Macaca fascicularis: one gene and its partner. The protein of the gene in region 1 interacts with the protein of each later gene in a biochemical or structural test. Links are inferred from orthologs where the notes say so. Each region holds a gene or a part of one and is shown in the gene's direction. Other genes may lie near its edges. The genes, in order: COPS7A and COPS4.

Region 1 (4,339 bases):
GGCGGGGAGGGGTGGATGCAAAAAAAAAAATAAGTTTGGACTCATTAATTCCTTGGTTCCTTCAAAGTTTTAATATTTTATTATGCCTTTGATTCCTTCTCACTTTTGTTTCACCTTTTCCATTCATTTCTTCTTCTCCTCTTCCTCCTTTCCCTTTCCTTTCTGTGTTTCTGCTTATTTTCTATTACAAACCAAAATATGTGGACCATAAACTGCATCTGCAGTTCCTTTAGCCCTAACAGACTACGAGTTCTATTTCTCTTTATCTTTCTCTTTTTCACTTTCTTGTCTTTCCATTACTTATAAGTTTCTTAATTTTCCTGAGTCTCAGTTTTTCCATCTGGAAAGTGGAGATAACAATTACTAGATTGTTGTATCAGATGAATTAAGTAATGCTCGTAGCTTAACACAAAGGCCAAGATGTCATTAACTTTACCCTCACTTGACCTTCTGCAAGCCTGCTGTGAAATATAAAACACTATATAAATGTTAGTTGTTTTTGTTTTTATTAAAGTATGTTGAAGTAGAAAGATGGTTTTGAGTTTGAAAAGCTCCAGATAAATCCTTGGATTTTTATGAGTCTCAATTTCCTTTTCTGTAAAATGAGTAACATAGGGGTTTTTCCGCCCCAAGAAACTAAGAGTCCATGTACTGAAAGCATCATTCTACAAGTATTAATACATATATAGTAATCATGGTAGAGGGTGTCCTGAAGTCACACTGGGAATATTTGTGAGGATTCAACGGAATAAAATTTTAAAAGATGTCTGACCAATAGTAAGCACTCAATACATGTTAGCAATTATTATCTTTTACTCTTCTCACTTCTTTTCTCCTGCTCTTCAAAAAAGTGAGTGGTTGAACGACCTAGGTGATCTCTGCTGCTAAACTTCTATTATTGATTATTGTTTACTTCCTCTCTGCCCCTTACTCCCCCATCCCGTTTTTTTCCCGCTTCTTCACTCATTCCATTACAGCTTTTCTCTTGCCTCAGGCACCCAGGGCAGTCCTGATCTCCAGCTCTCCAGCGGCTTAGAACAAACACAGAGTCGGCCGAGACCAGGGGACCCGCCAAAGACGTCTGTGTTTAGTGGCTAGCGATCTTCCACTAATAAAGTTTTATTGAAATACAGTATTTAAAAAGGCGCCCGTCATTCTTCCCCCGGCGACCAATCGGAGAGTAGAATGCTTGCGTCCCTCACTGGAGCTTCAGCGGTTGGAACGCGGGGGCGGGGCATGTCCTGCCGAAATTTGCGTCCTTAGAGCGGAAGTACGGCCGGAAGCCCGCCATAGAGTTTAGTGGCCAGAGCGACTCTTCAGGGAGGTGGCAGGAAAGGCTTGGAACAGCTGCCGGAGGTGACGGAGCGGCGGCCCCGCCCGGTGCGCTGGAGGGCGAAGCTTCCAGGTAGCGGCCCGCAGAGCCTGACCCAGGGTACGACGAAGCAGTCGGCGGGAGCCCACGGTCGCTGGGCGGTGTCTTTAAGGGAGGGGGCGGAGCCACGTGTAAGCTTCATTGGGGTGAGGTCACGTGGTTGTGGGCGCGTGCGGGGCAGGAGTGGAGAACTGAGGGAGCGTCGTCGTTAGTGTGGATACCATGCGACACCCCTTTCTCCGTTGCATCCTGTCTTGGGGTTCAGTGGCGGTGCACATGATGGGGCTTGGGGTTAGGCTCGGGGGAGGGGGTGGGTGTGGCAGCCTTGTGAAGTGGCTGACTTTAGGATTTGTAGATCAGAATTCTAGACCGCTCCATGTGTGATTCCTCACCGCAGAACCGACTTAGTACCTATAACAATCCAGTCCTTCAGCCTTGTGCTTCCCATCCTACCAGCCATCGGGGATCTCTAGCTTCACATTCTCTTTCCTTGCAGCTCTGGACATCCTGAGCCCAGGTGCCCCCAGCTCAGTGCAGTCATGAGTGCGGAAGTGAAGGTGACAGGGCAGAACCAGGAGCAATTTCTGCTCCTAGCCAAGTCGGCCAAGGGGGCAGCGCTGGCCACACTCATCCATCAGGTGCTGGAGGCCCCTGGTGTCTACGTGTTTGGAGAACTGCTGGACATGCCCAATGTTAGAGAGGTGGGTTGCTGGCTTGAATAGTCCACAGAGAAGCATGGGCAAAGGTTTGAATTTGAGAATGGGTGGGCAGGGCTCAATTTGTGATCCCATACCATTCAGTTGAACAAGAAAACAGTGATGATTAAATGCCAACTTGCAAAAGTAACCAGTAAACAAGCAAACCAGCTTTCCTTTGGAGATAAAGGATCTGTAAAGTCCACTGTTTTTCATTTTAAGCAAAAGAGCATGTTATTCAGAATAGGAAATCTGATTTCCAGCCCGTCTCCACCAGCGTAATAGCTGTTAATTCTCATGTCACCTTGATCAGGTCACTTTTGTTTTAGGGCCTGAGCTCTCTTTTTTAAAAATGGAGACAATACTGCCCCCTCTGTTGTGGGAATAAAGTGAGATTATGGGAAAGTGTAAAGTCTGGTACAAGTGGGTAGTGAACATGTTAAATTAGCATGCCCTATTCTTCCCTATGTGCAGCATATGCTAATCTGTTCAAGGTAGCTAAGGGAGAATGTGTCTTTTTCCCAAAGACACATGGCAAACACTAGGAACACAGCAGAGAGAACCATTCACACAAAAGTGGCAGAGTTAATTTACAGAGGAGGCAGCCTGAGTCCTGACATGCTGACAGTGATATGTGGGTAAACTGAGCTAAGTTATGTGGGGCCTGTGGTTTAACCTTTTGGATCACTCTGTGATATGGTGAAAACTGGCTGACTTTTCCCTGCTTTCATCTGCAGTGGAACTAAAGAGTATCCATCAAGGTGATGAAAAAGAAGCACTTGGCCTGGTGCAGTGGCTCACGCCTGTAATCCCAGCACTTTGGAAGGCCAAGGCAGGTGGATCACCTGAGGTCAGGAGGTGAAACCAATATGGCAGAACCCTGTCTCTATTAAAAATACAAACAGGGCTGGGCGCAGTGGCTCACGCCTGTAATCCCAGCACTTTGGGAGGCTGAGGCAGGCGGATCACAAGGTCAGGAGATCGAGACCATCCTGACGGTCTAACACGGTGAAACCCCATCTCTACTAAAAATACAAAAAATTAGCTGAGGCCGGGCGCAGTGGCTCAAGCCTGTAATCCCAGCACTTTGGGAGGCCGAGAGGGGCGGGTCACGAGGTCAGGAGATCGAGACCATCCTGGCTAACACGGTGAAACCCCGTCTCTACTAAAAAATACAAAAAACTAGCCGGGCGAGGTGGCCGGCGCCTGTAGTCCCAGCTACTCGGGAGGCTGAGGCAGGAGAATGGCGTAAACCCGGGAGGCGGAGCTTGCAGTGAGCTGAGATCCGGCCACTGCACTCCAGCCTGGGCGACAGAGCGAGACTCCGTCTCAAAAAAAAAAAAAAAAAAGGCCGGGCGCGGTGGCTCAAACCTGTAATCCCAGCACTTTGGGAGGCCAAGACGGGCGGATCACGAGTTCAGGAGATCGAGACCATCCTAGCTAACACGGTGACACCCCGTCTCTACTAAAAATACAAAAAACTAGCCGGGCGAGGTGGCGGGCGCCTGTAGTCCCAGCTACTCGGGAGGCTGAGGCAGGAGAATGGCGTAAAAAAACCCGGGAGGCGGAGCTTGCAGTGAGCTGAGATCCGGGCACTGCACTCCAGCCTGGGCCACAGAGCTAGACTACGTCTCAAAAAAAAAAAAAAAAAAAAATTAGCTGAGCATGGTGGCGGGCGCCTGTAGTTGTAGCTACTCGGGAGGCTAAGGCAGGAGGATGGCATGAACCCGGGAGGCGGAGGTTGCAGTGAGTTGAGATGGCGCCACTGCACTCCAGAGCAAGACTCTGTCCCAAAAAAAAAACCCACAAAAAACAGGGCCGGGCTTGGTGGCTCATGCCTGTTCCCAGCACTTTGGGAGGCTGAGGTGGGTGGATCATGAGGTCAGGAGTTCAAGACCAGTCTGGCCAAGGTAGTGAAACCCTGTCTCTACTAAAAATACAAAAATTAGCTGGGCGTGGTGGCAGGCGCCTGTAATCCCAGCTACTTGGGAGGCCGAGGCAGGAGAATCACTTGAACCCGGGAGGCAGAGGTTGCAGTGAGCCGAGATTGCGCCACTGCACTCCAGCCTGGGCGACAGAGTGAGACTCTGTCTCAAAAAAAACAAACAAACAAAAAAAAAAAAGCTCATGTATCCCAGAAGTTAAAGTATAATTTAAAAAAAAAAAGGGTGGCAGAGGTTGCAGTGAGCCGAGATCGCACCACTGCACTCCAGCCTGGGTGACAGTGCGAGACACCGACTCAGAAAAAGAAAAAGAAGCACTTATTGAGTGG
Region 2 (4,417 bases), on another chromosome or scaffold:
AGGGTTTTGTCCTCATGATCCAATCATCTATTTAAGACCCACCTCTAAATGTTGCCACATTAAAGATTAAGTTTCAACATGAGTTGTTTGTTTTCTTTTTCATTTAATTTTAATTTTTATTTTTTGAGATGGAGTCTTGCCTTTTTTTTTTTGAGACGGAGTTTCGCCCTTGTTGCCCAGGCTGGAGTGCAATGGTGCAGTCTTGGCTCAACGCGACCTTCGCCTCCCAGGTTCAAGTGATTCTCCTGCCTCAGTCTCCTGAGTAACTGGAATTACAGGTATGTGCCACTACGCCTGGCTAATTTTTGTATTTTTAGTTGAGACGGGGTTTCTCCATGTTGTTCAGGCTGGTCTCGAACTCCCAACCTCAGATGATCCGTCCGCCTCGGCCTCCCAAAGTGCTGGGATTACAGACGTGAGCCACGGCACCCAGCCCTCAACTTGCGTTTTGGAGAAGACAATTATTTCAAACCACAGTACCAGGAAAAGTGCAAAAAACAAAACAAAACAAAACAAAACAAAACAACAACAACAACAAAAAACAAAGCAGAACAATTATGTGGTGTTACTTTTTGTGAAAGGAGAGGTAAAATTTTATATTTATTAATATTTGCTTGTATTTGCAGAAATTCCATAAGAATACATGAGTATTGAATATCATATAAACGCAGGCGACCATATAATCTTCCATTGAAATGCAACCGTTTCTAGAATGAAAGGGGGGATGTTATTTTAATTAATTAATTAATTTATTTATTTAGAGACGGAGTCTTGCTCTATCGCCCAGGCAGGAGCGCAGTGGCGCAATCTCGGGTCACTGCAAGTTCCGCCTCCCGGGTTTTACGCCATTCTACAGCCTCAGCCTCCCGAGTAGCTGGGGCTACAGGCGTGCACCACCTACGCCCAGCTAATTTTTTTGTATTTTTAGTAGACGGGGTTTCACCGTGTTTAGCCAGGATGGTCTCGATCTCCTGACCTCGTGATCCGCCCGCCTCGGCCTCCCAAAGTGCTGGGATTACAGGCGTGAGCCACCGCGCCCGGCCGCAAGGGGGGATGTTATTAATCACTACTCCAGGACGACAGAGGGAAAATGGCTTTGTACTGGACAAACTGGAATATCTGATCAACCTTTATAAAGTGCATGGAGTGGGAGGAGGAATGGGGACTTTTTAATTGTATTTCTAAAAAGTATCGTCTGTGGTGAATCAGAAACAAAACTCGTTCTTTACCACAGGCAGTTTAAGCGCTGCCTGAAAGACCTAAGGACGGTAAACCACAGACATGAGACATGGAACTTTGCGAAAACGCAGTCGTTTTATGTACCGGGTACTTATTGGAGTTACACTAGAGACTCACTCCTGGAGTTCATCAGCCAATCCAAAGTCCGAGCGTGAGAGCCAGAGCCTGTAGGAGAGGGCTGGGCAGGCCTCAGACCTGAGGAGTGGAGCCCCGCATCACTCAACCCTGAGGGCGGAGCTAGCCCAGGCTCCCACACCCGACGCTCTGGCCCACACAGACGCTACTCTGTAGCATCTCAGGTTCCCTCTGGCTGCACTCTGGAGGACCACACTCGTTTTCTTTTTGGCTGCCAGAGGCCCCGCATCCACCGCTGAGCTGGGAGAAAGATGGCGGCAGCCGTGCGACAGGATTTGGCCCAGCTCATGAATTCGAGCGGCTCTCATAAAGATCTGGCTGGCAAGTGAGTATTTCCCAGCAACGCGGGAGTACAGAGGTGGGGAAAGAAAGCCACAGCCTTAATCTCCTTAGGTTGGCCACGACTCTTGGGCGTGAAGCTAGGAACCGGCCTGACGACCAAGGGGGCGGGCCTGAGGTCGGCTAGGGAGGCAAATGTTGGGAGAAGCAGAGAGCTGGAGGGGACCTTGTGCAGGGGCCTTCGAGGCCATAGACTTGGGATGACTGTCAACTTGTTCAGTTATTGATAGAATCCCTCTGGTCCCTTAGGATTTTGGAAGAGCGGTCTGACAGACGACTGCTACCCTGGCCTTAGTAGCCTTCCCTGGTACCTCTTCCTATCGCTGGCCGGCCTCACACCGAATCTGGCCTCTCGTTGGACCTTCCTCCTCCTTTTTTTGATTCAGAGAAATGTATATTCTGGGGCCTTGATGGTGTGTTTTTCGGGGAGATGGCTTCTTGGGGCTGGCTGAGACTGAGGAGGTATGGCCGCTGTCATGTCGTCCAGACCACTCAGACTGTCTTCTGTGGGTCCTTGTGTTTCGGGTATTTTCTCCGCCACCAACTCTGAAGGCACATAGGCGGAATGTGCTCATATCGCGGATCAGGATGTCTAGAGTAGTGATGTTTGCAGCAATCTGAATTTTGTCGAAATTCATATAGAATGCTTAGGTTCACTCCAAGTTAAAATGTGTGACGTGCCTGTTGTGCAAGCAGTTGTTCAACAGTATTAAGCATAGGTAGGTAGACGTATATTGTTCATTTTCTCTTTGTAGATGTCACAGCACTGATCTTTTGTAATGAACTTAAAGTATGCCTCTCTAGGCCGGGTGCAGAGAGGCTGAGGTGGGAGGATCACTTGAGGCCAGGAGTTCTAGACTAGCCTGGGCAACATAGTGAGACCCCCGTCTCCATAAATAAATAAGTAAATAAAGTATGCCTCTCAAGTTGATCTTAATGTTTACATCCTGACAGCTGAAATCACTTTATGTATGTTAATGGGATACACCAGCTCTAACCTGGTCATCGAAATTCTGACTGTTTTAAGTAGGCTAGGCTGCCTTTTCTCTGGTGGTAAATGTAATCTACTTTTATCAGTGGGAAATTCAGCCGTATATTTTGGGCGTAACTACTTTGTGCTGCATTTTCCCATTTAGGAAAATGAAGATGGTAATAGGACATATTCTTGTCTGAGATTATCTGAAGACAAGATGAGTATCTGTGTGCATATATACTTACCACACTTATATCACCTAGAACAGTACCTGACATATAGAAAGTGCCGCAAGATTGTTGTTACTATCACTAAGCTGTCAGTAATATATATTCACTTATTGTATGGGTTGGAAACAAATATGTCTTCATGGCTTAATCCTTTTTGCTTGTAATTTTGTAGATATGGATGAAAGTAAAAGCAGCTTATATTTTTCCCCCATGCTTCCTTTACTTTTTATTTTGTAAAAGAAAAATAAGTGCATTAGTTATCAGAAGAAATAGAGCTTTTCATGTATTTGGAGAGTTCTGAAACTTAAGTATTTACTTTTTCAGGTCTGAATTGGAGATAAACAATAGTATTTATAGGGTACTTCAGTTATCTGTTGCTTTGTAACCAAAAACTTACCAGTGTAAAACAACTGTGATTTCTCAGGATTCTATGGATTGACTGGACAGCTCTTCTGGTCTTGTCTGGGCTCACTCATGCAGATATAGTCAGCTGGCAACTCACCTGGGGCTGGACTCACATGCATATCTTGCTCTTGGCAGGATCTGTCTCTCTCTGCACATAGTCTCTCATTCATTAGTTTAGCTTGGGCTTTCTTAGGTGGCTATGAGAGGGGAAGTCACAAGACCTCTTAAGGATAGCCTAGAAAGTCTCATATCAATTCTCTAGTACTGGTAAAAGTAAATCAGAAGACCAGCCCAGATTCAAGGGGAGGGGAAATGGAGCCTACTACTGCCTCTTTAGTGACAAAGTTACATTGCAAAGGAGCCTGGACAGAGGGAGACATGATTCATTGGAAGCCATTACTGTAGCAATCTACCACATGGTGTTGTGAAGATTAAATGAAATAATGTGCTTGATAACTGATAGCCAGTGCTGTGTTAGCCAGCAACTCCTTCAGAGCTGCTTTCTGAGAAAAGTCTTGGGCTTGCTTGCAGTTCCTATCTGAGCAAGAAAGTATCAGGATATTTATCCTTATAACAACATCAGTTCTACCAGCTACATGCTTTAAGAGAAATACCCTTGAAATATCAGTTTTTTTTTTTAATGTATTTTTTCTTGTATGTACTTTTAATGAAGGTTTTTGGGGATTTTTTAGGAGCTGAGAAACAAAGGATTCCATATTAAAGAATAATGGAGTACATTGTTTCTAAAATATCAATACTGTGTGTTCCCAGCAATTGGGATATCTATAACAACAGTTGCTCAATACATGTGGTTGAATTAATGAATAGCTAGAAAGGGGCAGAGCTTGTATTTGAACCCAGGTTCATCACTCTAAAAAGCTCATTTTAAACCTACCAGACTATGCTCGTTTTCTTGTTAAAAACTCAATTAGAAATGCTTTCCCATAACTGTGGATTAACACAGCTGTCTAAAGTTTATGTAAGAAATTAGTCAGATGAAAAGCATTTTCCTCCATTTTGTAGGCTGTTTTTGTGCATATTATGTGTTGTGTTTATTATCTCACATAAAGATTTAGAATAGGAGAGCCACAATGGA

What was found.
Region 2: the proteins of COPS7A (region 1) and COPS4 form a complex in vitro, tested with the Homo sapiens proteins (2 studies listed by BioGRID). The link is inferred for Macaca fascicularis from reciprocal best matches to the Homo sapiens genes COPS7A and COPS4.

Annotation. Positions count from the first base shown.
Region 1 is NC_088385.1:7,643,915-7,648,253, forward strand, and holds the start of COPS7A (COP9 signalosome complex subunit 7a), read left to right. Parts: upstream 1-1,298; 5' UTR 1,299-1,405; exon of another isoform or gene 1,406-1,503; intron 1,504-1,868; 5' UTR 1,869-1,911; coding exon 1,912-2,073; intron 2,074-4,339.
Region 2 is NC_088379.1:50,803,544-50,807,960, reverse strand, and holds the start of COPS4 (COP9 signalosome complex subunit 4), read left to right. Parts: upstream 1-1,572; 5' UTR 1,573-1,625; coding exon 1,626-1,699; intron 1,700-4,417. UniProt on the Homo sapiens protein: Component of the COP9 signalosome complex (CSN), a complex involved in various cellular and developmental processes.